2 linked regions of the Lytechinus pictus genome follow. The protein of the gene in region 1 interacts with the protein of each later gene in a pairwise test. Links are inferred from orthologs where the notes say so. Each region holds a gene or a part of one and is shown in the gene's direction. Other genes may lie near its edges. The genes, in order: myotubularin-related protein 9-like and serine/threonine-protein kinase mos-like.

Evidence for each region.
Region 2: the proteins of myotubularin-related protein 9-like (region 1) and serine/threonine-protein kinase mos-like interact in binary tests that used the Homo sapiens proteins (3 or more experiments, as listed by UniProt). The link is inferred for Lytechinus pictus from reciprocal best matches to the Homo sapiens genes MTMR9 and MOS.

Annotation. Positions count from the first base shown.
Region 1 is NC_087253.1:7,992,894-8,009,092, forward strand, and holds the start of myotubularin-related protein 9-like, read left to right. Parts: upstream 1-7,836; 5' UTR 7,837-7,851; coding exon 7,852-7,867; intron 7,868-9,817; exon of another isoform or gene 9,818-10,161; coding exon of another isoform or gene 10,162-10,177; intron 10,178-15,989; coding exon 15,990-16,147; intron 16,148-16,199. UniProt on the Homo sapiens protein: Acts as an adapter for myotubularin-related phosphatases. Increases lipid phosphatase MTMR6 catalytic activity, specifically towards phosphatidylinositol 3,5-bisphosphate and MTMR6 binding affinity for phosphorylated phosphatidylinositols.
Region 2 is NC_087261.1:11,518,677-11,534,803, reverse strand, and holds serine/threonine-protein kinase mos-like, read left to right. Parts: upstream 1-8,620; 5' UTR 8,621-10,107; coding exon 10,108-11,364; 3' UTR 11,365-15,592; downstream 15,593-16,127. Other genes in the region: uncharacterized protein LOC129268848, read right to left, coding at 204-346, 1,034-1,109.

The DNA of each region.
Region 1 (16,199 bases):
ATACATTTATGACTTTTGGTTGAAAAACACAATTTGCATTGACCTTGTATATCGAATCACGTTTTTGAGCAATTTTGGGTCCGACATGCACGTACAAAATGTTGCGTAATTTCGAAACCGCACATACAGGCATCGCAAATTTGGTCTCAAATGATGCGCAAGACTTGAAAGTAAAAAGTCATCGAACAGTGTAGTCAAAAAATTTCACGCAACAGCGTAGTGACCAAATTTCTCGAGGGGGGGGGGGCTCAAATTGATCCCCCCCATTTGATTAGGGTTAAAATATTGCATTAGGGCCTCTTTAGGGGCCTACAGTAAGCCTTAAATGCGCACTCAGACCTAACTGATAAACAAAACAAGCATGGTATACAATACATGTTCAGAAGAGTGTGAAATACTTCATATATTTTTATTCATAATTATGTTTGGGGTAACTAGCCCCTTCAATTTTGTTCCAACTAACCCCGGAGGCCCATTTGACGTTCATAAGCTTACAGCACAAAAAAGGGACTTCACCATGGCTTATTAATAACCTCATTTTGAAGCTTGGTACAAGTGTCTGTCATACCCCCAAACTGGCCAACTTGATTAATAAACTTCTCTGAAATAATAAAACATTTCTGAAAGAGAAAAAAATTACTCTGAAGGTCAAAAAACAAAAATTCCTTTCTAACTTCTCCAGGCTTGTTGCACATGTTTTGTCTGTAATATGGTGGATGGCTGTTGATAATGACAATAAATTGAGGGCAGTATTGCAGAAATTTATTTAAAGACGTTGAAGAAAATTACAATGTTTCAACTTACCCCGCGTTCCAACTAACCCCGGTCTCCCCTACTTTTAAGCCCCCATTTTCTTCATTCGCCCATTAAATTTGATAAAGTACATTAAAAGGCCATATTTCTTAATTACATGTATGTCTTTTGTCTTGATTAATAATTAATTAGTAATTATGAATATTAATAGGTTATAGACAAGTATAACCTTGATGAACATTGACTAGGTAGACCATTAATACATCAAAATCATTGCACAAAAAGCTTTTAAAAAATTAAATGAAAAGCATACATGTGCATTCCCCTTAAGCTCTGTTGTGTGCCATGCCCAAAACAAAGAGAGTAATAAGATTACGCAATCGTCTTTTGTCCACAAAAAGCCATGTTTCTGTATCACAAAGATGACAATAACTCGACTTCTAGAAGTCAGAATTTGAAAATTCAATCAGTTTTGTGAATTGCAGATATTGAGCCTCATTGTAAGCATATAAAACATGCTGGAACAGCCTTTCCTAATTTTCACCTGAAGTGCCTACTATTAAAGGTCAAGTCCACCCCAGAAAAATGTTGATTTGAATAAATAGAGAAAAATCAAACTAGCATAACGCTGAAATTTTCATCAAAATTTGATGTAAAATAAGAAAGTTATGACATTTTAAAGTTTCGCTTATTTTTCACAAAACAGTGATATGCAAAACTCAGTGACATGCAAATGAGACAGTCAATGATGTCCATCACTCACTATTCATTTTGTTTTTCATTGTTTGAATTATACAATATTTCATTTTTTACAAATTTGACAATACGGACCAAGTTGACTGAACTATATAATATTAAACAATGCTAATTCCACATGTTCAGGGAGGAATATATCATTGTTTCACTTGACACTGAGGAGCAAATTAGAATATTTCATATTTCACATAACGAAATACAAAAGAAATAGTGAGTGGATGACATCATCAGTCTTCTCATTTGCATACCGACCAGGATGTGCATATAACTGTTTTGTGAAATTAAGCGAAACTTTAAAATGTCATAACTTTCTTATTTTACATCCGATTTTGATGAAATGTTCAGTGTTATGCTTGTTAGATTTTTCTGTTTTTATTCAAATCAAGGTTTTGTTAGGGTGGACTTGTCCTTTAAAGTTGAGACAAATTGAATCCAAATTTTAAATCGGTAGGATCCATATTAAAGCCACTTGAAAATTCAGTGAGTGTTCAATGGGTTTCAATTGGAATTTTGTGATTGGGCACAATTTAGCAGCTCTAGCACACATTAACTGTTGAATGTGCAATATGCTATGTCTAATGAAGGGCAGAGGCTGTCGGATGGTGGTGGGACTACATGTAGGCCGCTAAACATGGCGGTACATTTGAAGATTTTATGAAATATTGAGGTAACAGGTGAAAATAATTATAAACATTGCAATTAAAATATATTCGATAATTGATGAAAATTTCGAGCAGGTTACTCTATTATAAAGAGGAGACCTATTAAAGGACAAGTCCACCCCAACAAAAAGTTGATTTGAAAAAAAAGGAGAAAATCCAACAAGCAAAACTCTGAAAATTTCATAAAAATCGGATGTAAAATAAGAAAGTTATGGCAGACTGATGACGTCACCCACTCACTATTTCTTTTGTATTTTATTATATGAAATATTCTAATTTTCTCCTCCTTGTCAAGTGAAACGAAGTTTCATTTCTCCCTGAACATGTTTGAACCATTTTAGCCATTGTTTTAACAGTTTATGGTTAAGTTAAGTTGGTCCTTCTTGTCAAATCTGTAAAAATTGAAATATTGTATTATTCAAACAATAAAAAACAAAAGAAATAGTGAGTGATGGACATAATCGACTCTCTCATTTGCATATCACTGATTTGTGCATTTAACTGTTTTGTGAAAAATAAGCGAAACTTAAAGATAAATTCCAGTTTTGGTAACGATCTAAAAATGACTTTTTACAGAATCTAATATAATGACCACCTAAGTGTCTGTTTGTATGAATAAAAAATATGTGCCAAAGGATTCTGGAAGAAATTGTGTAATTGCTGAGAAATAAGCAAAATAAGCGCGGATTCGGTCACTTCCGTCGGGTCTTTATTTTAGCAATAATAATACACTGTCCCACGTGTGCCTATCTGTGTTGGTGATCTTCAGTGTGAACATTTTTCAGCGTAGATTTCAAGATTTCACAAAGTTCAGTTTATGTAACTGTACCAGATCTAGATCCTCGATGATATACTGACAATTAAGCCTTGTTTTACAGACTTTCTCATGAAATCAGTGTTTACTGCAAATACTGGAATTTCTCTTTAAAATGTCATAACTTTCTTATTTTACATCCGATTTCGATGAAATTTGCAGCGTTATGTTTGTTTGATTTTTCTCTATCGATTCAAATCAACAATTTTCTGGGGTGGACTTGACCTTTAAAGATGCTCATATTCAAACATCTAACGTTGACCACTTTATCAAACTGTCAAGGGGGGGGGGGCATTTTTTACTTGCCGTACGGCCGCCATAGAGGAAATGTGACTGCAGCATTAGGTATTTTTGATTGATTATTAAGCCCTAAATAATAATGAGAGAGAGCCAGCTGTGACATGTGTACTTAAGGGAAAGAACATTGATTTAATATCAGTGTGTAAACACAAGCTGATGCTGTGGCAATAGGGATGTGTTTAAACCTAGATCCTGTTCAGTGACAAGCAGTGTACATGTACGTACATGTATATGTACATGTAGGTACGTTTTAAAGATTGATTTTTAAAATAAAAATACAGGACGATGATATAAGCAATGTTCAGACAAGTGCCCTACTGCCCTGCATACATAATTGTATGCTACAGCTGATGCTGTATAATTAGCAGAAAGACGTGTTCAGACCAGTGTTATTTTTTAGTGAAAATGATATTGATTTGAATATAATGTGTAAGCAACAGCTGATAATATAGGTACAGGTAGGTGTTCAGACCAGTCCTGTGTAACGAGTGTAAAAGATGTTTCTGTTCAGATCAGTGCTGTAATATGTTGATTAAATTATAATAAAAATAGCTGCTGCTGATATACCATTACATGTTCAGACCAACCCATAATTTCTCTTCCTTGAGGGAGGTTCACATTATACAAGCTATGCTTTTGAGTGAATCTCCCATTTCCACAGATACCATTTTTGCTATTTAGATTATATATTATAATTTGTCTACAAAATGCACCATATTTTATATATTGTATGTTAATTATCATTGATGTTTTTGGATATAATTCTAATGACAATGATTTGTATCGTAAATATTTGTTATAAATGTATGAAAATGATTTGTATCAATATTTATGTCATTTCTGTTGGAAATAAATCTGAAATTTCTTTTTTATTCCAATGCGTAAACACTGGCCAGTATACATGTATGAGGACCATGTTTTCTTCGACCCAATCAAACTACAAATGTCACTATCAGTTGTAATTTTTAAAGGAAAATGTGTATATATAATTCTAACCAAAACTTTTAAATAATTTATGCATTCTATGAATAATTTTTTGTCTTATTTTGTTGAATCATCAATTGAAAATGAAAGAATAAACTTTCAAAGACTTTTATAGAAATGAATGAACTTTCCCTGAGAAATCAAATGCTCAGTCACTTACAACCTTGAATACATTAAAAGGAAGATTCCTATTTTTGAATGAATAATATTTTATATTTAAAACAAAATGATGGAGATAATACTGTAAAATAATAATAAGAGTTTTGAATAGGAAGTACGGGAGGGGGAAAAACACAGAAAGCACTTGAGAACTATTTTCCCCAGTGCTAGAATAATGAAGGCCATGATCAGTGCATGTATGAGGCTGTTCTCACTACGTTCCTAAAACTAGTTTACTGGAAACTAGTTTAGTGGAAACTAGTTTAACGCGTAGTGAGAACGGTCGAAGCGGTCTTGGAAGCGATCTTCCAAACCAGTTTGGAAAACCACCTCGCGATGTAGTTTTCAAGATTGCTTTGCCTCGTTAAACTGGTTTTTTTAATAGCGTAAGTGAGGACACAACCGTTCTTCGGGAAGCAATCTTCGCACATTTGGAGCACGCTACTCCACACGACAGGTGTAGAATGCCTACATGCATGCTGCGGTTTCGAATTTCGCGCGAAACTTGTCACCCCACTGAGAGCGTTTCCATAGCAACAACAGCGCTTTACGTGAAGTGATTTTGAAAACCACTTTCGTGTGATCAAGTGGGAACGCTAGCAAAGCGATCTTCCAAAGTGGTTTCCTGAATCGGTTTCAAGTAAACTAGTTTTAGAAAGCGTAATGAGAACGGCCTCTACAGTATGTCTGTCTACATGCAATCATTTGAATGCTATGTTGGAGAAAGACGTTAATATTGATTTTATCCTTTATATTGATTTTGACTCATCCTTTAGGTACAATGAATGATTTATTTTGACCTTTCACCCTGGAACATGGTGTATTTCTCTGGCTCATTGATGATCATTCTATTGTTGGCTCTGTTTCATGTCTGGATCCATTGATTCTTTTCTGTGTTTTTTTTGTTTATTTTTAAAATGATTTGATGGATTGAGTATCGGTACTTGTTCTGTGGAAGATGGAAGAGTGTTATGGGGAATTTGATCATATAGTTTTGTAGATTACATGTATGTCATGGGTTACCCGCGTGCCAATTTTTGTCGTGATCGCGTGATTGACGGCCGAGATCATAGGGGGCGGGGGCTAAATAAAAAAGGGATTATTTTCCCTCCATAGCCTACAAGGATAACTTATTCCATCAATGTTATCACAGCAATTAAAACGACTGGTTAATCTTTAAGAAAGAGTGTAATTTATACATTTATCTACAAATAATTGTGAAACTTTGCTATACTCCCAGCCCCTCTTCAAGTAACAGGGTTGTTTGATTTAAATCATGTCGATTTAAATCATGATTTAAATCGCGATTTAAATCAGTTGATTTTTTTTCAAAACAATCACTGATTAAAATCAACTTTTATGAAAATTTTTTTTCTCTATTGTATATATATATATGAAACAGATACTTTCAATGTAATCATTTTCATTTCTGTTCCACATGCTTTAGAGATACTTTAAAAGAATGATACACCCTCATGGAGTCTGATTTAACACCACTGTTTTATTTTCAAATTGTAAAACAAGCAAAACTGATGAAAACAACAAGTTTCTAACGAAGTAATGATAAATAACTCTCTGTATGTACACCAAAAAATTTAATCTTCAATAAAATAATATATAAAATCTACAAAGGTGGTCAAAGTCCACAACTTGGATACTTTTACAAAACAGCTGAACTACTTGTATGTACCTCCTTCTTGTTACTATTAATACCCATTCTTTCAATAATAAGTTGAAGGCATATGTGTACATTTGATAAGAATTACATGTATATTTGCATGCTTGTGTATTTTCTTATCAATACCCATACATTCAATTACACAATTTCAAAGTACACATGTATACTTAATAAGTAAGAATTTAAAAATGGGAAAGTTGCTTGGCAAGTGTTACTGTATGCAGCAATACAACTGCTGTGCTTGCTTGTTCATGTAATAGTTTGAAAAAAAAACAGCACATCAATGATGTGGTGGACAGTGGTGCTTATCCTGCATCTTGCAACGAAATTTATTGAAGTATTATTTGGAACTGAGGTTACACTGTAATGAAAACATAAAATGTGTATTTTGTTACAAGCATATCAGGAAGTGCCTATTGCAAATCTGGTTAAATATTACATTCAAATTAGATGTTAACGTACAGTTGTGACTTGCGAATGCTTTGTATACCAGATGTAGCTCTAGAGTTGCAAACCCTATTTCTGTGGAAACAAGTCTTATATGATAAAGCTTTACAATGACTTAAAGGCATTGGTTAACATTGTGTTCAGTTTTAAAAATCTGAGTTGCATGTTCTCACGTGTATGCTAACATGTCTATGGGAATATAGAAATGAAACAGAGCAAAAAATGCTTTAAAGTGTTATCATTTAGAGAAGCACTCCAAAAAAGTAAAAAAAATAAAAAATAACCTGTATATAATAAAGTGGATTATTGTGTCAAATAGTACAATACACAATGTTCAAAAGACTACTTGACCACTATTATTGGTGTAAAACAGTTTAAATATAGTTTAAAACTTGTTAAGTGTGACCATTATTTTTCGTTGGAAAAAAAAAAAAAAAATCTGATTTAAATCATAAAAATCCGATTTAAATAAAAAAAAAATCTGATTTTTTTTTATTTAAAAAAAAAAAAAAAAAAAAATCAACAACCCTGAGTAAAATGCATCCATGCACTGTATAGTTGAAAAGAAGCCAGAAACTTTACTGATAAAGACTGTACATTTTCTTTGATTCTAGATTTCAATTTCCCCCATGTAATCCACAGATTCAAAGAAAAAAATAAGGTCACTGGTAACTTTGTACATCCAACATACATGTACAAATCACATTTGTAGATTTTTTTGTCAATGCATGTGCCCTACCCATTTTTATAAATCACCCAAATTGAGATTCTCACTTAAAGATTTTAATTCCATGTGTAAACTGTCTAAACATTTTTGATTATCATCTCTCGACCTCTTCTCGTACAATTAGCTCATTACATGGATGAACTGTTGAAACTGATTTAATCATCATCTCTCAACCTCTATGACACTGTCTGAACACAATCACCTTTCCACAGGTGCTTTAGACATATTGACACATGTACATGTATGTAAATGTAACCAGCAGGGAGTTGGGAGTTTATTCTGAACTACACTGTTGGAATGAAGACAAATGAAGATGATTAAAATTAATCATCACTTGCGTGTATGTACATAAATCTATAATTGCCAGCTGTCTGAACACTCCCTGTAAACATGATCTGCTGCACCATGAGTAAACCGTCTAAACACACTGCCCTCGGGAGGCTTGTCTTGCAGACTGTGCACACATTAACATCAAGCCTCCTTCTTGAATTATAGGGATTCTATCTTTTTATCGTAGAGGAGACCGTGTTTGACGGTCAAAATATGGGATGTTTGTGCAATATGGTTAGGAATGGACAATGAAAAAGGTCAGTCGAATAAGGATTTTTGTAAAAATTTTATCTCAGTTTGTTTTATGTGGTCTCAATATTTATGTTTAGCAGCCTGAAGAAGCTACCTTGTCTGTGATGAGAATTAAGAAATTTCATCTTCACCTGATCTCATTTTGTTAAGGATTGATATATTTTCTTTGATTTTGATGGATTTCATATGTATACATGTAGTTATCATTATTGTTTTTTTATGATTGTTTGCTTTTGCCTTTTCTCCCTTATTGAACAAGTTTTGTTCTTGAATCGATAAAATGCATCCATACTCATCCATCCATCCATCCATATTGTTGGATCACCTGTTGTTTCATCCTTAGGGAGGTTTAATGTCACATGTCGTGTGATGCATGGGATTCGATGCCAGATAGGAAATTCATACTGGGTAATTATATGACACGGTCGTCAACTTTTATTGAATGAATATTACATGTAGGCTCCATAGTGTACAGGGGCCTACAGTGCATTCATGCTACATAATAAATGTCACACGAGGCATGACATTAAGTATGCCAACATTTAATTGTGTGCATGAAGTTCCTTTTCGTCAGAATATCAGATGACATAAGAACTTGCAGTGGTGTGATGAGCCAAAAGTTTTGAGGGGGCTAGATATGACGTATCGCACCAAATTTATAAAAAGTTGGGAGCGAGCAAAGCAAGCTAGCAAAAATTTTAATATTTTGATTGCAAAAATTAAATTTTGTGATATTCAGAAAATATCACATTTCATCCTTCTCTTTTTTTCTTTTCTTTCCTTTTCTCTTTGTTTTCTTGATCATGAAAAAAATTGGGGAGAGGGGCAAGAGCCCCTCCCCCCCCCCATCTGTATGCCACTGATAACTCTGTGAATACATGGTACACAACACATGCAAAAAGGGTTTTAGTCTTTTTTTTGTAATTAAGATTAATAATGAACAATGATCTGTGGCATAGATTTCAGAGCTATCGAGCAATTCCATATATTATCAACCTTAATTTTGTATGTTGGACTCCCATTTTTTTTAGTCTTTCTTCACTTTATAAACTGCCCAAGTCATGGTCCTTTGAGAAATTACAGACTATCAAAAGAACAAAAAATCAGAGACAGAAAACTTCATGAAGGTCCCATTGGGGGTCGGATGTACATATTATCTGGAATTGCCCTGTTTGTATTTTGATTTGATTTGTTCTTTTTATTAAATTTTTTTATTTTTTTTCAGGGGGGGGGGGGGTAGGTGCATTGTAGGAGTGAGATTCAGTGACATTTCAAATTTCAAATACAAAGACAAAATTAAATTTAAACTGAGTCTTCAGTCATCTATGATCAGACTAATTGGTGTATTGTACAGCAGTAGTGTATTTTTGAGGAAACATCAATATTGATTTTTACATTATAAGAATATTAAAGTAAAAGGCAAAGCGCCTTTTTATTGTGATTCCTTGAATTCAGCATTAGCAAGTCATCTGCAAATCTGCAACCTTTGAGAGCAAAAACACAATTACCCCCACTGCCAGGAAAATCCAAATTAAATGAGAAATATGCCAGTAATATTTACATACTGTAGCCTATGTATTCACTTTCACTTTCAGTGTATTTTTCTATTATTTATTTTTAGTATTGTACAGTAATATAATACCCTGTGACAATAGGGTGTCTACATACATGTATATATCTACGGAGGCATTAGTTATAAATAGCGTTTAGTCATTTTGGCTTACATTGATGATCTCCCTCCCTTGCCCGTTTCATGTAGAATTTTTTTTTTGGAGGTACAATGTAATATTAGTTACTATTACCCTGTGGTGATGGGGTTTTCTATCCATGTGGAGGCGTTAGTCATAAATAGCTAACAATGATTTTCCTCTCTCCCTCTTCCAGTCTGTTTCTTTGCCCCCAGGAAGCGAGAAATTAACCAACATTTCTAGTCATCACAAATCCTTGCTAGAAATAGACCCAGTCACGGCCCGAATAGTATACAGACAATGATTGTAGCATCAATCACCCATGATTGTTCCTGATACTTTCTATTTCTAGTGCCTCCTCCTCTTCATTAGTTTACAAGAGCTTGTTTTCAGCACCTTCATATTTTACTTGGGTCTGGAATTATTATCTTTCTAGATGACAGCTTGGCCAGCGTTATGCATTGTTTGTATAATTGCTGTGCACTCTTTCCTGCTTTTGATCAAAGACACTGTGTTTAATGTCAGACTAACACTGTTTCCAGATGTTGTTTTTGGATTGTGTTAAATTCGAAGAAGATCTTATAAACGTTCTTAAATAATAAACTGTAGCAATGGAGCCTACATTTAGTGAGTATCTGTTGTTATTTTGACATCATGCCTATGTTTGTTTGTTGGGGTTGGGGTGGGGGGTTATTGCAACATTATGTAGTGCTTTGGTTTTTTTTGGGGAAAAATAGGTAGGTGATTTCTATATATTGTTTGTATATTTTAAAGTACTTACTTTATTGTAATGTACATGTACATGAAATTAACAATTGTTTTGCAGTATTTTTTTCAGCCTGAAGACCTTTAAAAAAAAAATCAAATTACATGTATACTTATTTTTAAGGCAAACTTGATGTCTTTTTGTCCAGACGTATAGAATAGAATCACATCTATAAAACATTATCCATGATAATTTCTTCTGTGCTTGTTTGTGAAGAAGAAAGTGCTTACAACGCTTGCTATGTATTATGCGGAATTAGTTTTGAGAGGGTTTTTTCTCTGTATCAATTGTTCAAATCACTGCCGCAGCACTAATGAGGTGTTGTAGCTCAGTGGATAACTCTCCAGACTTTGAACAAGAAGGTCCGGGGTTCGATTTCAATGCAGCACTCCCGTCCTTTGGCAAGGTGTTTGCCACTCTCCACCCAGGTGTATTAATGGGTGCCTATTAGGGAGAAATTCCTTGAATGCTTGAATGTGAAGTAGTGTTACTTGTTATTGGGGATAGACCAGGGCCCCGTCTTACAAAGAGTTGCAATTGATCCGATCAATCGCAACTATGGAAAGCCAGCAAAGTCAACATATAAAATGCATGTTTGTTCAAAAAAAAATTATAGATATGAATGTATATCCATAAATTCATTGATATCTTGACAATTTGGTATGATCTCCTTTGTTTACAAAGGACATTTTGCAAATTTCCTGTAGAAAAAATTATGACACTGATGGATTTCCATAGAGTTACGATTGATTGGATCAATCGTAACTCTTTGTAAGACGGGGCCCAGTTTTACCTGCTTATTCACACACTCTTATTCCTCCAATAATTCTTTCCCGTAGGACATTCCCCTTGCCTCTTCTCTTTTATCCTCTTTACTTTGTTCACTGCCTTCAAGTCCCTTCTTCCGTACATTCTGCATTTTTCACTTTCATATCTTGTCTTCGATCTGGATCCTCTGGCCCGTATTCTGAAGTCGGGTTTAAAGTTGTGGTTTAAGTATGGACAGCCAATTGTTACATAAATCACTAACGGTAGAGATATCATATTCAGCTCATACGGCTCCCAAATAATAATAATAATAATAATAATAACATTTGTAGGGCGCTTTATACTGGTGTTTCAAAGCGCACAGGTTGGCAGATTATAATAGTATACAGTCAATCGGTCAAAAAAAAAAAAAAAAAAAAAAAAAAAAAAAAAAAAAAAAAAAAAAAAAAGTTAAGTTATGAGAAAAGGTGAGCTTTAAGTGACGATTTGAAAATTTCTACGGAGGGAGCATTTTGGATATGAATTGGGAGTTTATTCCAGAGGGTGGGAGCAATTACAGAAAATGCACGATCACCATATCGGGTCTTAGTGCGAGGGCCATGAATTAAATTATTGGAATATGATGAACGTAAGGATCTGACAGATGAGGAAGAACGAAGGGAAATAAGGTCTTGGAGATATTTGGGTGACATATTATGGGTAATTTTGTATACAATGAGTAGAATTTTGAACGTTATGCGAGAGTGAACCGGAAGCCAATGAAGTGATCGGAGAATAGGGGTGATGTGTTCGTGTTTCTTGCTCAAGGTTACCATTCTCGCTGCAGTGTTGAGGATTCGCTGGAGGGGAGAGATGGAAGAAATTGGGAGGCCGGCAAAGAGGGAGTTGCAATAGTCTAGATGGGATGAGACGAAGGCATGAATGAGTTTTTCAGTAGAGGCTTGGTCGAGTAGTCGCCTGACCTTACCAATCCTAAATAAACCCCATGATGCTGATTTGCAGATGTTCCTGATATGTGGCTGGAGGGTAAGGTGCTTGTCTAAAGTGACACCAAGGTCTTTGACAGAGTCAGACATCTTAAGTATGCCCTCTCCCATATTGAAGTCTGGCAGAGGCTCCGTAGCTCTAAATTGCGAAGAAAGATGTACCAGTTCTGATTTGGCTTCGTTGAGACGGAGTCTGTTCTTCGCTGACCAGACCTTGATGTCCTTGAGGCAGTCACTCAGTAGATTAACAGCATATGTCTTCTGGTCGGATGCCATGGATACGTAGATTTGCGTGTCATCTGCATACATGGCATAACTCACACCCCGATGGCTAGTGATAATTTTTGCAAGAGGACCAGTGTACAGAAGAAATAGGAGAGGGCCCACAACAGAACCTTGGGGGACTCCGCAGCTCAAAGCGAAAGGTGCTGAGAAAGTTCCATTGATAATCACCCGCTGAGTACGATCTTGCAGGTATGACTCAATCCAATTTTGAGCCGTTCCGGTAATGGAGTAGTCATGTGCAAGACGCTGGAGCAACACTGAGTGGTCTAAAGTGTCAAACGCCGCAGAATAGTCCAGTAGAAGGAGTGCAGCTTCGTTACCCTTGTCGACGGTAAGCAGTAGATCGTTGAGTACTTTCAAGAGAGCCGTTTCTGTTGAATGAAAGTTGCGATATGCTGACTGCTTCTCAGGAAGTAAATGATGACTGTCCACATAGCACATGAGCTGGGATGCGACGATTCTCTCCAAAACCTTGCTAACAAATGGCAGGTTGGCGATAGGGCGATAATTGCCAAAGTCATTCGGATCAAGATTGGGCTTTTTCAACAGAGGAAGAACTAGTGATGATTTGAATGATTCAGGGACAACACCTGTTGTGAGTGATGAATTGATAATGTTTATGAGAAGCGGTAGAAGTTCATCAATACAGTCTTTGAGCAACCAAGTTGGAAGAGGATCAAGACTGCAGAACTTCGGTGGTAATGACTTGATGAGATGGCGAAGTTGAACTTCAGTCACTGGAGTAAACTCACTCAGTTTGCAATTCAAAGAGCCCACAGGATGTTGTTGATCACTAGGAACGTCAGGTGCAAAAGAGGACACAATATCACTGATCCTCTTGCTAAAGAATTCACTGAATTTGTTGGCGAGATCAGAAGCAGATGAGTGTTCAGGATAAATGGAGGACTGAGAGGGGGTGGTGAGTTTCTGTACAATACTAAATAGCTGTTTGGAGTCGGCGTTAGCGATTTCAGATCTAAAGTATTTTGATTTGGCATCAGTGAGGAGATTGTAGTAAGTTTCGCATTCTTGACGATATAATGTCTTATCAACCTGCAGGCCAGACTTCATCATTCGACGTTCTGCGCGTCGCCTCAGTCGCCGTGCCTCCCTAATTTCAGCAGAGAACCAGGGAGCTTTTGGTCTAACTGTAACAGTCACAGTCTGCAGAGGGGCGTGCTTGTCCATCAGTTTACCAAGACAGTCGTTATACAGATAAGCAGCCTCAGATGGGCAAGAGGGAAATTGAATGGAATCTAAGACATCTTTAACATCCAGACTAAAAGATTTAGGGTCAATGTTAGAAAGTTTCCTGAAAGTCACTTTCTTCTTGGGGTTTTGGGGCCCTTTGAGATTAATAATACATATAATAGCAGAGTGATCAGATGGCAGAGATGGTAAAATGCTATGCTGGGAGATAATATCTTCCGAATTTCTACTAAGGATAAGGTCGAGTGTATGACCAGCCTTGTGTGTAGGCCCGTTGATGTGTTGTTTGAATCCAAGGGCTTCCACTCCATTAAGAAAAGATCTAGCAAAATTGTCTGAAGAATCATCCACGTGAATATTAAAGTCACCAAGAAGAATAGGAGGATGAACATCCACAGCAGCACTTTCCAGAAGAGTGAGAAACTTTCCAGAAGAGTGAGAAACTCTTCAAGAAAATCACCACTTGAAAAAGTGTGCCGGGAGGATTGGGGTGGGCGGTAAATGCAATACAGTTTAACAGGAGATGATGGGGTAAGATGGACGGTTAGATCCAAAAATTCAAATGAGGAACAATTGAAGGTTTCATTTACAACACAGCGTGCTGTGGACCTGTAGAGGACACATATACCTCCTCCCCTAGTCTTCCTGGGACGATTGATAATGTTGTAATTTGGAAGGGACAATTTCAACTGCGCAATAGTAGGGTCATCTCTGTGATCACCTGAAAACCAAGACTCAGTGATAACTAATACATCAATATCATTATCTATGATCAAAGAAGTCACTACATCAATCTTGTTTGTCAAGGATCGTGCATTCCATAAACCTAAACGAGTACCAGTAGGCCTCGAAGGAAGGGGATGCGGCCTTGAGACCATACGCCTGTGTCCGCGATGAGTAGGACCATGTCGGCGGATACCAAGGTCACAAATCCTTTTCCAAACAGTCAGAGGAAGATGATGAGAAGGCTTCCTATCTAACTGATGGAGAGTAAGAACATCATATTGAATACGATCTGACTGTGAACTGTTACAATATTCATTAAATTTAAATGAATCAACATCATAGCGTGGGCCTGGATTCATATGAATATCACCTGATAGTAAAATGGCTAACTGAAAACAGGCACTTGTATTGCTATAGTAAGCAATAGGCCTACTACAGTACTTCAGATGCCTGTATACAGGAATAACAGAACATGAATAGGTAACTCTGGCATCAGAAGGCAGAGTGAATACATGGTTAATATTCAAAAGAAATACAATCAATGATACACAAAAGAAGAACCTAAGGAACTTAATCCCCTCCATTGTAGATGGAATGTCACTACTGTCTGTGATTAAAGAGGCAGAAGTGAAGTACAAACTGAACTGCCTGAACAATAAGTAAAATAGACAGTGAATAGAGGCATGAGTGTAACACAGGACACTGAAAATGGCAGTGTTGAGCAAGTTCAGATATGGTACATAAAATACAACTTCTCAATACTGAGCTTACTCACCAAAATATTGAATAAAAAAAGGTCTAGCAAGATCCTTGACATATACAGAATGCAGTGTTAACAACTAAATTCAAGATAACCTCAAAATAAGGCAAAAAATCAACAAAATGAACAGGCGCACAAAAAAAAAAAAAAAAAAAAAAAAAAAAAAAAAAAAAAAAAAAAAAAAAAAAAAAAAAAAAAAAAAAAAAAAAAAAAAAAACATTCATAATTGTCTAGGAAGTATATATAGATTATTGTCTTCACCATCGATGAATCAGGAAAGAGCACAGTAAACATAAGAAACGTACAACTTAATAAAATAAATGATACTTTTGGCTTCCCATACTTAAACCACAACTTTAAACCTGAGTCTAAGTTACACCTAACTTCAGAATATGGGCCAATGTTTCAGAATCTTCCCTTCTCTTCTTATCTCTCTCTCTCTCTCTCTCTCTCTCTCACACCCTCTCTCTCTCTATATATATATATTATATAAATCTCCATCCTTTTGCCTCCCCCTCTCAGTGTTCCTGTACTTAGTGCTCTCTCTTTTTAACTTTTATCTTTCCCCCCACCCCTGTCTATCTCCCCCTCTCCCCCATTCTCTCCATATGAAAATCACTTTTTACCTTATTGTATTCTCACTTCCTCAGGGGTGTGAGAGTTCAGATTTTTAGCTGATTTCAGATTTTTTTTGTTTTGATTATCAGCTTAATTTCAGCTTATTTTTGGCTTTCCTCTGTACAAGAACTACTGGAGCTCTTTCTATTTCAGACTTTTTTTCAACAATCTTCAGCTTTTTTCAGATCTTTTTATTTGTGACCACTCACACCCCTGCTTCCTCTATCGTTATGCAACCTGAACTAATTCATCTAATTAATTCAATCAATAACACATGTATAACTTTGGATTTTATATGTTATCCTCTTTTTCCCCCTTCAGAGTTCCACACAATGGAGTTTGTTGACTTCATACGCATCCCAAAGGTGGATGACGTTGTTCTCCATCGCCATGGTTACCGGCCAGTATGCGGTACACTCTGTCTCACTGGACACCACATGATTCTTTCATCTCGGCAAACAAATTCAGAAGAATTATGGGTAATTTATATATTTGTATACTCTTTACAAAATCGTCAGTATATCCAGTTGA
Region 2 (16,127 bases), on another chromosome or scaffold:
TAATTTTAGTATTTAGGGAAACAGTGTCATTTTTTTTAATGCATGGCATATCAGGGAAGTTACAAGCAGGTGTCATTTCTTTAGCATGAAATACACGAACTAATATAAGTCCAATAAAAAGGAATTTCTAACATGCCAAGATATCGAAAATCGACTGCCACTTTTTCCGGGCTACCTTGTACAGTATAGAAAGCAATACTCACTTCTCTTCGTTGTATGAATGAAGCACTTGCTTCCTGAACAGTTGCACAATCATATCTGCTTTTGGAAGACTTACTTCCTCTGATTTGGCCAGGTGGAAATAGGAAGGGAAGAACCAAAAAGGACAGGTTACATTTCTCTGCATCTGAAATTAGATGGGGAAAAATACAAAAAATTTCATTCATCAAACCTGAATGTCTATCATGTTCATTACTATCATAATCTGATTCATAGTATGCAAGTGTAAGAATGCACACAAAAATACAAGCACAAAATATAGGGTCTTTGGAGCTACAAAGGCCTTGAAATGTAATTTTAGAGGGTCTTAAGAGCCAACAAGCACAAAATGTAGGGGTTTTGGAGCTACAAAAACTGCACAGGGAATGAGGGAAACGGTGCAGAGGCCCTTGGCTGCAGCACAAGACATTTACCTGCTCTCCGGTACTAGCAGCGTCGGCTGGGCCCATGAAATTGCCAGTTTGTCATTTTCGTAAATTCTATGCTGAAAATGTCACAAATTTTTGAGATGTAGATCACCTCAACTGATATGAAAAATATTTTTTTTACCATCAATCATATTGCAAGTCTTACTTTGTAGAATGTTGGACATAAACTGATAGCAAGTGAACAGCTGTTCAAAATTATTTTCTGAAAGACACTGTAGGGTTAGTACTGGAAAAAGCTGCCCATTATGTTCTAATGCAAACACAATGAGCACAAGACTCTACCATTTATAACAAGCCTTCCTACAGAATGTAACTGTGCCAAAGCCAGCTGAATGACTGATCATCTAATTTAACTAAAATTAATATAGTTATGTGCACATACATACCTGAAGCTCTTTCAGTTTTGATAAAAACTTCAGCCTTGGTCCCACTGGGCGATGACCTCTTTAGCGCTTGTGTCATTGAAAAGGAACAGTCCAACTTGGTCTACTTCTTTATCTGCAAATTAAGTGGTGGAAATACACATTTGTATAACACAATCTTTAGAAAATGACACAGTACAACTCTAATTATCAACTGTTTTGCAGAAAAGGCTTAGTAATTTCCACTTTTTTTATTTTCCAATGCAAGAGCTGTTACAACATAATAAATTAGACATATCACTGAATGTGATTAATACCCCTGCCCATCACGTCCCTTACTTACTGGAATTTTCATATGCCATAACCATGGCAACACAGTTTCTGACCCATTCAAAAACTCTGTTTTGCCTATCTTCACCCCAAGACCAATAAGTGTGCCAAATCTCATGAGCATATGGTGAAAAACTGAGGAAGTAGTTCAATCGCAAGATTTTACCTGATTTATTGAAATGATATGCGTACAGTTTCCAACACATTAAAAAAATGTGTCTTGTACATCTTCACCCAAGATCAATGTGTGTGCCAATTGTCATGCACACTGATCAAAAACTGAGGAAGTACATGTAGTTGGATGATTCGATCCACAAATGTCGCATTTTCTGTCCACGTTACGTACGTTCACCACTATGTCTATAAATGGCATAAAACCCAGTATTCAATAGAATTTAGGGCTGATGTTATTTATCTCTTCTAATCAATATCAGGCCATTCAGTTGAAAAAAGGCAAGTTTTTATTGAACATTTATATTTTGACCTTCATGTTTGTACACAGATTTCTGTCCAGCGTTACATACGTCCCCCCCCAAAAAAAAAAAAATCATCTTGTCAAAAATTCTAATTGATTGCCTGTTTGAAGCAATTTTTGAGCAAAGTTATCTCTCATTGAAGTGTTCTAAAATATTGTATGGGGGGGGGGGGTATTGCACAATGGAAACATACAGTAAATTAAAATAACCTGATTCCTGAAAAGACCCCTTTTACTGTGGAAATACCCATGTACATGTATCTATGTGATATGACCTGAAGATGTGACACAATCAATAGTATTTATTACAAGCCTTGGGTCCTTGATTCTACACATGTATGGATTTTACATGCTACATAAGATGTATAGTTACCTTCAAATTTCTGACTGAATCTTTCAAGGTCACATTCTTTCATTTTTTGTGTTACAAAATCGTCCGTGATCTGCAATAGAATAAGAAAGCGAAATTAATCTAGATTTACTGTACAAAAAAAAGTTCAACAATCTAGGATTTACAGAAATTCTGAGTACAGTACAGTAGTCTGAGATCATGACAAAGTTAAAAGAAAAAAAAATGTACAGAAGGTAGGCTAATTTCTCACAGAAATTCTACATAATATTTCTGGCGTAAACCTAACCGCACCGGCCCGAACGCGTAGCGTTAGCAAATGGACGAAGTTGAAATAAGTCTTTATTCGTAAGGTCTCTAAACGCCCCCCCCCCCAAAAAAAAAAATGTTACTTTTCACTATTATATATATATAAACCTACCTATGTTTGTTTTTGATGTCTCACACTCAAAGACGCAACTAGCTAGATCTATAGGGTGTACAAATGATAAAATCGTAGAAAATAACATAACCAAATAAAATTAATAAACCCCATATCCCAGCTCATAAAAATCTAAATTATAGGTTGTTATATAACTGCGCCAGCCCGAACGCATAGCGTTCGGGCTGTGGAGACTCGGCGCAGTGAAAGTCTTTTCTTGGGTTGAGTAATGTGCCCCCCCCCCCCCAACAGAGTTTTCTGAAATAGGAAAATTTGACAGCAAAATTAAGCAAGTTAAAAGATTTTGTAATTTACCAGGCACGAAAGTTTTATCTTCAATGATCCAAGAAAGTACGATATCTTCTAACTACTTGCTGTCAAATTTTCCTAAGTTTTTCAGAAAACCATGTTTGAGTGAGGCACATTAGTCATTACTCAACCCAAGACTGAAGTTAGAAACATTATATAAATTAGACCCCTAAAACATTACAATGATACCAAGAAATGTAACGTTAGTTGGAACGAAAATTCACCGTTTAGACTTAAGTTTGATTTTTTGACGAGTTTTGGGCGCTACTGCGGTTTCGCACCCGGCCTGACAGAAACCTCACACTCACAGTAGCATAGCAGCGGCTTATTTAGTCAGCTCACATGAGGTGCGAAACCGCACAAGCGCAGAGTTTTGCTTGTCGATGACCCACCATAATCAACATACACCAATTACCACAGGTGGGACTGAAGTCATGGAACTGCACGATAGGACCACTCAAACTCACTAGCTCAGAGCTAATAATTTCAGATCTATCTTAGATCTAGGCCTACCTCAAAATGAAAATCACTTGTAAGTCAACAGAAATAAATATCAACACACTCACATTCGCCACTTGAAAGTTTAAGTCTTGTCTTGATTGATCTGAATCAGACATATTTAACAGGTAGGGTAGGCCTAACCCAGGGAGCTGGGCACAGACTGGAACCTCAAAAAAACGAAAAGTTCTCTAGTCTCCTTCTACCCCTGTCTCGATCGGCCGATCGAGACTGGGTAGAAGGAGAGAATTTTTCTTTTTTTTGAGGTTCCAGTCTGTGCCCAGATGTCAGGAAACTGCCACTCGTTAGACCTTCATCCATATAATCGTGGTAATTGTATACTTTCTGTTTTCACAATTCATTTGGAGAAATACTTAGACCATAAATCACCCTAGTCCGGTGACTATGGTCAAATACACGGTAAGCCCCTGGGCTCCCGCCCGCTGCGCGGGCGGGAGCTCCCTGGGTTAGGGTAGGCCTAACTGTTACATCGTCTGCGCTCTGTGATCGGGTAGATCTAATTGATTTGATTTTGAGGCGTAAAATTGCAGTGAAATTGGAGGGGTATTTACGCTGCGCAAATGCTAAATTAGTTAATGATCCAATTTCTTTGAAAACTGTAAACGGATCTTATAAAACAAAGAAGATTAAATTCGATTTCTTACCAGAAAATGTTGACCTCCGCCCGGCAGCGTTATCAATCATCCAGAATTTGAGAGAGTACGCCTATATTTTATATTTGTTCGATCGTACGTCACCACTACTTTCCACCAATGAAACTGACGATAATTTGTGACGTCATTTGATTCCCCGATCTATTCAAAATCCTTGGAACTTTGTATGTCAGCGTGAATATAATCTCTTTAAGATGACTTGTAATCTATTCAGAATGACGAGTTTCGGATTAAGAAAATATTGAATAGCTGTTCTATTCATAAAAATGAATCGGCTGTCATGAGAGTGTAGAATTCGTTTGTTTGTTCGTTTGTTTGTTTGTGCGTTTGCTTGTTTGTTTTTCTCCAGTCGATTCAGTGGCGGATCCAGGGGGGTGGCGCAGGGGGCGCGCGCCCCCCCCCCTAATATTTGAGCGGCGCCGAAAAATAAAAAGTAAAAGAAAGAAAAGGCGCTGCTTGAAAAAAATAAAAATAAAAGAAAGAAAAGAAAAGGCGCCGCTTAAAAAAATTTTACACTGATATAGTATTAGTAACAGTAAGGAAAGACTATCCCCCAGCAAAGCACAATAATATCTTCCTTATCTTTTCTTTTAACTACCCTTTTCCCAACAACTTCGCCGGTCAAAAATAATCAGCAGTGCGCTGCCTGCATATAACTGGCGCCAATCAAGAATAATCAGCGCCACCTTAATCTAAATCGGCGCCGGACAAGAATAATCAGCGCCATTTGGTTATAAATCGGCGCCAGTCGAGAAAAATCGGCACTGCCAGAGTCTTAACCGGCGCCGATCAAGGATAATCTGCGCCACCCAAATCTAAATCGGCATCAGATAAAAATAATCGGCGCCATCTGGTTATAAATCGGCGCCGGTACAGAAAAATCGACGCTGCCTGAGTTCTTAACCGGCGCCGATCAAGGATAATCAGCGCCACCTAAATCTAAATCGGCGCCGGACAAGAATAATCAGCACCACCTGGTTAAAAATCGGCACCAGTCAAGAATAATCGGCGCCTCCTGGTTCTAAATCGGCGCCAGTCAATTATGAATTGCCGTTGCCTGAATCTTACGTGACGTCGGTAAAATCGGCACCAGTCAAGAATAATCAGCGTCCCCTGGTTCCAATAAATAGGCGCCGGTAGAATAAAGAAGAAGGGCCTATTGCCAACCAAATCTAGATCGGCGCCGGTCAAGAATGATCAGCGGCACCTAGCTGGTTATACATTTTATTGTTGAATGGTCATAACAAAGCTTATCGCATGCCCTTACAGAGTGGACTGGGGCGGGGCAGTTGCCCACAGAATGACAGATGTCATGAAATCTTTAATTTATTTAAAAAATCCCAGAATCATACAAAAGCGTAGTGCAAAATCCTTTAATTTTTATCTTATTTTCCAATGCTTTAATAAAAAGAAGGTCAGTCACTTTTCTTCTTTACACATTCCACATTGTGCCACCTCTATGGGCCTTTAGTTTAAGACAGCTTCGATATAGTGTTTTATGAAGATGATTCGATATTTTAGCCCAAAACTTTGCTAAAACCCGTTGCTAGTACCGGAAGTGTATAATTACGCAACCAGTCGTATATTGAGATAGAGCTACACAACTCGTTCTTTATTTAAAATCGTCCTTAAATTATCCGCTTCTCAGATTGGAATATAAAAATTTTCAGCTCGCGCTTCGCGCTCGCATCATTTCTGTAGCAAAACCCCATACTTTTCATGATTAAATAGGTAAATAGAATGTCTCATTTTCAGGACTAAACGTCAAAAGAACTCCCGCTTCGATTTGCAATAATCTTTTGCTGGATATAATCTTGTTCTTTATTACAAACGTCCATTAGACTGTCATTTTTTTCAGATCGAAATATCAAAATTTTAACATCTATTGTTTCTTTTAGATACCCATCTTAATCATTGGTACCAAAAATGCATAGAATATCAAGCTTTCTGGTCAGAATATAAAGAAATTTCAGCTCGCCCTCGGCACTCGCATTATCTGCATGTGTAGTGAGATATGTATCCTCCTCATGAGTTACTACAAACAGTCCTAAACAGGCACCTTTTTCCTGTTTTCAGGTCAATATACTAAAAAATGTCAGCTCGCGCTTCGCGCTCGCATTAATTTGTTGGTGAGATATGTGTTTCTATCTCATGAGTCATATAAATATATATATATATGCATATGTGTGTGTGTGTTTGTGTGAGTTTGTTTGTTTTGTGTGATATCGAGCGCCTTTGGAAAGTTGATTCATGATTTTGCCCCCCTAATCTTAAAAAAGGATCGACGCCCCTGTGTATATATATACATGTATATATACATATAGTAAAAAAAAAAGGTTAATACACGAGATTTTGAAATCGCACATAACATGCATAATTTTGTGTTACTTTTTGCTTGTTTCTTTCTTTAATAAGTTTTTCAATCTCTATCTATATATGATTTAGAAAGATTATATGTTTAAATTGATGTATATTTTCTGTTATAATGAGATATGAAGTGGACTTCAGGGAATGGTCGTACGCAGCAAGGGGGAAGGGGGGCACATTCGCGATCTGCTGTTGTGAAAAAAAAAATTCCTTAACATTTCATGAAAACTATGAAAAATTTGCAAATGTGAGATGTGCACCAAATTTTCGAGTCTTGCCCCCCCCCCCCCCGGAAATATTATCTGCGTGTGGTCATGCAAAATGGCATGACTGGAAATCCTACATTTTGAAAAGAGCATTTGACAGGGTCAAACTTTACCCCTTTTTCAACATTTTCTTTAATGGCGCCGGTGAAGTGCAAAAATATGTGCGCCGCTCGGTAGTGCGCCCCCCCCCCCTTTCGCCAAAAGCTGGATCCGCCTATGCGATTGAATAAGTTTTTTTATGTACTCTTAATGGACTTGTGGTGAAAAGAAGATCAACAATCAATTACTTTCTGTTGAATTATAGAAGGAAGAATATTCAGTATTCATCTTTAATCGAAAATTAACATTCCGTGTGGCGTTTTATGAAAGTTGACAGCACTGACTTCTCAGTGCTGACAACTTTAACTTTCATGAAATGGTCCCCAGCCTAGGCTATTGGAAGTATATCCTCTGCCTGTGGGCTCAGATGATAAATGGTATTTGTGAATAATGTTTATCTGCAAAAATCAGGAAGAATATAGAGAAGAAGGGGAAAGAGAAGAAAAAGAAAAGGAGGAAAAAACCCATAAAAACAGAAGAAAAGGAGTAGATCATGAAGAAGAGAAAGGAAAAAAAGAAAGAAAGGAATAAAGAAAGAAAGAAAAAGATGAATGACATTGAATAAGAAGGAGATAATGAGGAAGAGAAAGAGACAACGAAAGAAAGGACGGAAGTCGAGGGGGAGTAAAAAGCAAAAGGAAGAAGAAAGAAGAAAGAAGAAGAAGAAAATGAAGAAGAAGCGAAAGAAAATGAAAGAATAAAAAAGAGAGAAAGAAAGAAAGAAAAGTGGTGGAGAAGACGAAGAAGAAAAGGAGAAAATGGGGAAAAGAGAGAAAGCAAAAGAAGAATGGGAAGAAGAAAAGAAATCGTACTTGCTTCCCCTTTATATCCTTTTTAACGTATGCATATAGCTGTATAATAATATTTGCCTCTATACTTCTTACTCACCCCCCCCCCTCTCTCTCTCTCTTTCTTTTTTTTCTCACCATCCCGATCTCCCTTCTATTTCATTATGGATTTCCCTATTATCCATTTATTTTCGGCTAGCCTTGACCATGATTTTTTTTTTGGGGGGGAGGAGCGGTGACATTGAATATTTTGAAAAGGTTAACAAGGTTACCTAAAATTTAATGTTCGTTTGCAATGCCATGGCCATACGCAGCGTAGGGAGGATCAACACCCCCCCCCCCCCCTCTACTGCATATATGGCTTTGCAAACAACATTTTGGGCCCCCTCGTAGTTTCGAAATTTCAATGGCACTTTGAAAATTTGCATTTTTAAATTTAAAAAAAATTACACAATTCACCAAAAGTATGCACGAAATCCTCCAATTTCACTTTTTAAAATGCAAAAGCCGCTCCATGACAAGCTCGGTCGCTTCGCTCTTTTGCTCTTGAGTTTCTTTTTTCCCCTCATTTCTTTCATCTTTTCAAATATTTTTTTCCATCATTTTACTCGATTTAGCACTACCAATGATAAAAAAAGATTTAATGTGCCATCATAATTAGGGTCAACTGAACAACCATTGTCATTATTGTTGAATTAAAGACCACTTTTCTTGACCCGTTCTTCATGTCTTTTGTCATTATTCTGTGAACTTAAATATGGTAAGAAAAAAATATTACCCGGATAGCGACAGTATACGCACCTTTATCTTGTAATCTCTATATATAATAGGTAATCGATCCCTTGTGCGCTATGAAATATGCTGGTATTGCCTGTCATATGGTCTTTACTCATCTAACACAATTACTGATACACAGGGAAAAGCAATTCTGAAATGTAATACAGTAAGAAAAATAATAAAAATGCATACACATTATACTACCAACGTGCCTCCCTTGCTATTCGACGCCTGTCGGTTGACGGGTATGGGTGTGCTTTGCCGGTATTAACTTGAAAATGTCATTGGCTTGCCTCAAGTACCGAGATCTACTCTACCAGTCTACAGACCATTCTACAGAGTGTCCTTTACTTTACATTTCATGTTATGGGTGTACCACAATTGTATACTCGTAATATTAACCATATCTAGCCGCTTAAAGTGTGTTTGCTTTACTGCAATCCTGGCTGGTGGAAATACTTTGGAGGTTGCAATGAGGCAAATCTGTGACGGATCTAACTTTACTGTGAAGACTCAACCAGGATCAAGTTTCAGAAGATTCCTCCAGAGCCACTTGAGTTCTTCAGAGATACCATAGACACAATGATCATAATATCAACGAGGTGACGCAACAATGATTAGCAAAGATGTCTTCAAGATCCTTATTCTTTGGTGACGAGTAATATTTTCCCTCTGTGAATAAAAGCAATGCAGAGTATTTGCCGGATTTGTCTCTCTACCAGTCGAATATGGACGAACTTGGATAATATATCTTCTTCATCACTTTTATTACATTGAAATGGATGTACTCAGAGTGGTTCCCCGTGCCTACTGCCCATTTGACCTAATGATCATATAATAGTGGTTCCATGTTTACTCGGGAAACACTGATCATTTCAAATGTAATTTATTCATTTTAACATCCCATGGTTAAGCATCATTCATTTTAATTTGCGAAATTATACATGGGCCGCTGACAAATCGTTTAAATGCAATGAGAACTTTTGATTGACAGGAAATTTGCAAATGGATTTTCGAGACCGAACTCCTCGAGTTGAGTACTATCTTGACAAACTGATCCTATTCTATGGAATTTATGTCCTAATCGTACATTCGACACTGTCATCATAAATGACTGTCGTCATTTCTGGAACTTTTTCTGTAATTCACACTGGATAACATCCCTTTTCTGGCATCGCATTCCTAATTGAAAAATATTAATCTTATCATTGTTACTGCTGCCTCTATGTGAAAGGAAACACGGACTTCTTATATCTTGGATGTCACAGATGCGTTATTAGCTAGCATACCATGCATACCCTGACAGTTAGATGAGTATGACACAGAAATATCAGCGAAGTCATGAAACACTCCTAAATTAATCTTCAAATTGATATTTCAAAGGTCATAATTGCAGATTGCGGTATCTCTTTCTTTCAATGACTGTGGTATTTTTAACATGACTTTTATTTTCAAATTTACAATACTGCAATGATGGGAATATCAAGCGCTCCCTTTTGAACAAAATAACACCTGGTTGCCCAGGGTAGGCTGAAATAAATCAATAAAAGTCTAGACCACTTCATGCACCTGTCGCTGCTTACATCGTTATGCACATCAGAAGCATATACATTTGCCTCGCAAAATGCCGAGATTTTCTTAACAATCAATTACCATTTTCACTCTCACTCGATTGACATGACAATTGCCAGCGCATTGCTGTGCCTTTCTATTCGAGTTATTGGAAGTCACAGCTGAAAAGAACAATGACGAAAATATTCGAAGTTATTCTGAGGCTTTTGTCTCGGCATTTCGCCTTTCTGCGGATATATCAGGCATACCTGCAACGCTCGAAGAGGACAATATCCACTGAAAACCTTTTAGCGCCCAGAGATTGTGATTCAGAAACGTTTCATCTCAAACGAAGGAGACACACTGACTGTGTGATTAAGACAAGAGAATATCACTCAGCAGAGGTATATTGTCACAATTCCAACAAGAGGAAAAAATCAGTGGGACTACAGAGTGCTTTTATTCTTAAAGGAGACAGTGAATTTCAGATGGAGGAGTCACTCATGAATTCAAAGTTTAGGATCATAACGCACCAGCATGCGTCAAGGACAACATACCACTGTGTCACGGATAACAACAATGATACTGTGTCAGTGAGGCCACGGGATCTTCTTACGGACGACTTTCATGTGGAAGGTTTGATTGGCAGTGGCGGGTTTGGATCAGTGTTTGTCGGGAAGTACTGCGGTCAACGAGTGGCCGTCAAGGTACTGCGCCCACGAAGGACAAATGCCGAAGCGATGCTTCAGAGCTTTCGCGCGGAAGTCAATGCCCTGTACTTAAAGCACGAGAACATCGTCAACGTGCTAGCCACAAGTGCCGTCGAAGACTTCGACGCTGGTGCTTTTATCATCATGGAGTACGCGGGGAAGCGGAACCTTCAACAACTGATCAACGAAACATCAGAGAGGTTGCCGCTGGCACGCCGTTCGAATTTCGCTCTTCACATTATCCGTGCCTTGCAATATACCCACGCACATAACATTGCTCACTTGGACGTCAAGCCAGCGAATGTCATTGTCGACGATTATGATGTTTGTCGCCTATGTGATTATGGCTGTTCTCAACAAGTCTTTGGCTCGAATGGCAAAGGTCTCAGAAGCCCTACAAATCGATCCTACCTAACCGGTACCTGCGGATATCGTGCGCCGGAGCTGTTGTGCGGTGACGCGCCTACGACCAAAGCCGATATCTATTCGTTTGGGATCACACTTTGGCAGATGTTAACGCGAGAGACGCCGTACGCAGGGGAGAATCATCATGTTGTCATCTTCGGGGTCGTCGCCAAGGACAAGCGACCAAAGTTACCCGACAACGAGAACGAGATAGAAAACGACTGGTATCGCCGTCTTATCACGAAGGCTTGGCCGAAACAACCCGAAGACCGACCGACTGCAAGGGAGATCATGAGAGAGCTGGAAATGCGACTCGGTGTCGATGACGTCGCTTGAACGACCGTGCCGACGACCGAACTCCCATCTAACTGCTGACTATCACTGTTAGCTAATTGATGGTTGAAGTTTGGGAATTTCAGAGCAAGATTTCATTTCGCACCTGACATCATTGACCTGCCCTCTTTGGCCAGTGGCAGTCACGTTGGATGACATTCCATTGATCTCATCGATGCCGTCAACCTCGAGTTGGTTCTGCAAAATATAATTTGTTGTACAATGATTGTAGACCATTCTGACCTCGAGGTCAGCTTTTTTATACAAATAATGTAAGCTCAGTTATTGCAATTTATGTGTCACATTGTACTTTGATGACATAATAAGGTCTCCATAATCATGATTAATAGTCTGATTTTGTTAACTTAATTTGTATTTAACAATATTACACGTTGTTTTATTTTAAATCCTTCTGTAATAATTTTGATATTGTATTTTAATTGACTGCCAGTGTTGAAATACTCCCTATGGAGTTATTGTTATCGTCGATCTTTATGGCAACTTTATGATGACTAAAGCATGTGGCTTGAGATCTGCATAGATCCATGACATCATACAAAAATTACTTGGTACATAAAAGGCAAGTCCGGGGGTAACCAGTCCGGGTGTATCTATTTCATGGATTTGATGAAGATGAATAAAGTTATGACGTCATAATTAGGTTAGTTTGATCAATTTGTAATGAGTATGTGTTCCAATCAATGGTGATAGTGAGGAATGATACGAACTGTCTCTCGTAGAATTCAATATCCTCAAGGGGTGATCATTGAATTATCAAAGGAATTCGATCCACTCATGCAAGGTTTGGAGTGCAATATTGTCATCTTGTAATTTTTACATATTCATGATTTAACTGCATGGTAGATACTTTTCATACATGTTGGGCAGGGACCCACGAGAATGACTATATCAACAGTCTATATCAATCGGAAAAATCGTGATATAATTGAAACAGTTCAAACACAATTCCAGTCTAAGCAATATGAATGCAGTCTTCCTACCCTACTAAAAGACAATATCTCTCGAGTATTTGTTAATGGTAATTTATCGTCTTCCATATATGGGCTATCGGTTGCTTAGTTATGTTTTCAAATTTGCAGACGCAATGATTGGCTCTTCCGCAGATAACATTTTGTGCATTGTGATCCAAATGGTATTCCACTCGGGCACCTGACTGCTTATTCTTCTATTAAAATCTAATTCTCCCCAAATCAATCCTACTTACCTTTTTATGCTTAGTAAAAATATTTTTTTGTATCAATCGAGCTTTTCATTGCAAATCACTTTATCATATTTATTTGAACTTTTGAATAGGCCTATAGCCAGATTAAGTGGATGACGTCAATCTATGCAATATTTGAATCATTTCCACTAAATTCCACCCCTTATCGAAGAAAATGAATTAAAATATAATACTATAAATTAATGATATTCAACATACCAGAAGTAACTATGCACAGTTTAAAACGAGTTTCCATCGGGATAAGAAAATATCAGCTCTGCTTGAATTTGGGTTACTGAGCTAGTTCCCAAGGTCTTGTGTAAACAAATCAATTTCTCGATTTGCATGATATCGTGTGAAGCAATCAATCATTTTTTATTTATTTTTTATTAATTTCCAAAATATCTTTTTACCATGAAGTGTTGTTTTCAAAGACGCCTACACGGTCGTTTGTATACCATATGTGTATATCTTTTTAAACAGGAAATGAAAGAAAAAATCGGAAAAAATATACATTGTGATCATATTTTTGTAACCGTTAATCATGTCATGATTGTTGATCTAATGTTTAAGTTTGTAGGGAACGAAAATGTTCGTTTTAACTTTGTTCAAATCTCGTCATAATCATGAGAATAGCTAGAGGAAGAAGGTATAGATTTGGAAGTGTTAGATGGTCGTTTGGATGTTAATTTATAGGACAAGTATAATAGGAATCCTAATTCATCAATTGGCAACTTTTTGCGAGGCATATAAACTATTACATAATTAAGAGAAAGCACCTAGAAGTCTGACATTCACATAACTCATTCTTTTTTATTATTTCTCAGACTTGATCTTAATGAACTTCAAGTTTTATCTCGGATGGGCTCTCCCGCTTGACCGAACATTGTCGTAGTTCACGTTTTAATTTTTACTCCCCGGTTGCTCATACTGGCATAATTATCTCAGGTCCACTTTACGACTCAAAATAAATCCTTGAAAGGTTCACACTTGAAGGAGCAAAGTTTCAATAATTGTGGACTTATATCAATTGGGAGTGAATGTTTATAATTTCAACTCTTGACTTCAGTCATCAGTCCAGCTTGATTGATCATTGGGTCATTCTAAAAAGAGTGAATATATATTCTTTTCAGTTCCAAGTTTAATCAAAATTTACTCCCACTACACTTTTGGCACACTTTATCTTTTTTTTTTATTAAAGAAAAGATTAACTCTGAATTCGTTAACATCTAAAAGAAAGACTTGTTGACTTCACACGACATGTTTTAATTGCCGTCATTATAGGGAGTTGGATGGCGGGTGATGGTGTTAAGCGACGAGTTTCTTTTGTTCACGCCGGTTCAACTTAAAAACCATTAAAAATACCCTTTTTAATATCAGTTCTGTTGAAAGTTATAGGCTATTATGCCTACCACAGTCAAACAAGAAGTTGTTCCCTCACATCAGCTATAAATGATATTCTTGCTTAACTGCAATTTCTCAGTGTTCAGTTAATATATTTTATTTTGATCATTGATACTTCTATATCACTGACCGATATTGACTATGCGGAAAGTAATGTTGAATACAATCTTGAATCCAATACAAAATTGAAATAAGCAGCAACAAAAACGCTGGCTAATCGGTATTTTCATCACAAACTCGTTTGTTTACGTTAGCACGGTATTTCATATTCAAACTGGTATTTAACTTGATTCTTTCTAATTAATGTACAGTGTTTTGCAGTGTGTCAATACAAACAAATTGTCCGTTACTTGTCTATACCATTTTCTTCGTGTCATTATTCAACCTGTGTTTCAGGTCATGTTGGACACCATGATTATGGATTGTATGGTTCGTTAGTAATTGTAGAGATTGTGACCATGCCATATCATTTTTAGCAGCTATTCATACCTTGTTCATAGTAGACATTAAATTCAATCTGTATGGACACACCCAGTGCATATACTATACACGTGAACCGAAAGAATGAACACATGCAAAATAATGTAAACGCGACTTTAATATGCATGTAACCTCTAAAACGGATCGTTGCTGGTAGTATCGGGTTCTGGTTCGAGTATTTTCAGAGAAACACTGTCAGAGAGTAGCTTGTCTGTCGATAATGAATTGAAGAAAGGAGAGGGCATGTTAAAATAGGCCTAGGCGTGGGACCCGGGCGTGGGAGTATATTGTATGAAACAGAATAGGCACCATTGCGTGGGCGAGTACGAAGGCTACACAAATCGATCTGCTTTGAATAAAAAAATGATTGTATAAAACTAAAAGGTTTGGGTGTTTTGTAAATTTGCAATTTCATTAACTCAGTTCTGACAAAAAAATTATTAGTATTAACAAACACTTTTAATGGTACGTGCTATATTCACGAGGTAACGGTGCCTTCGAGTTGAATATTGTTAATTGCAATTTTGGGGTGTCTGTATACTTCACTCCAGCGCCACGCCTTGCAAAGTTTTGCGTTTGATCATATCAACAAAACTATCAATAGCACGCACAGCACCATTACCAATCATTACCGTTAATTATACATTTTTAAAATATAATTTTACAGGGTAACCGTGCATATATAAAAGCAACAAGAACTAATCAATATTTCAATTTCATTGTTTCCAAATGCAAAGTGCATTTTCTGACGGAAAAAAAATAAAGCTTATTGGTTATCCATAGAAGGTATTGATCACTCGCAATTCTTTGTGAAAACGGGGCCTGCGGGCACTGATCTATACGGATATCAGAACAGATCAGTCAGTATTCCCTGGTCAAACACCTGTCTTGTTCATATGTCAACAAAATCATGGTTATGATTAATTGATTATTATAATAATTTTATAATTGTAAGTTACCTGGGCAATGGCCTATTTATAATTCCCAATGCAATATTGTCAAAACAATCTAGGGAAAAATATTTTTTATACGTAAACTGGAATATCATCGTTTGATTAAAATGAAGGATATAATCTAATTTGGCAAAATATTCCGAGACATGATTAACGGGCCTATTAACTCTTTTTAAAATAAATCTGAAAAAACAAGTAGTACTTTCTTATCATGTTTGTCTATTTCATATGTAGTTAAATGTAATCTTCTATAATGTTTTGTATGTTTCTATTATGTATATTGCTGGTTTTTGTTACCCGAATGAATTTATTAAATCGAATACCATTTTCTATTAAACATTTGTCATCCTATTTATTTTTCATATATAATTACTTTGGTAGCAAAGTGTTATCAGTGTAACATGCGGAATGTGAATACTAAGATACAAGTGTGTTATGAGAGAGAAAGAGAGAAATTTGGTATAACAGTAATATTAAGAATGATTACGTGTAAAAAAAAACCTTTACGGAAAACGTATGTAGACCTATTAATTATTATCAGTTAATTACTGATATCACAGCTGGACAATCGGTATTTCAGGTATTTTCTCTTACTCTAAAAAACATTTCTTACAATCGATGAAAAAAAAAATTATCAATAAGTGTTTCACTTACTGGCAGTTGTTTTGGTATCGTACTATAAGGAGTGAAGTTGTCGAAAGGCGTTG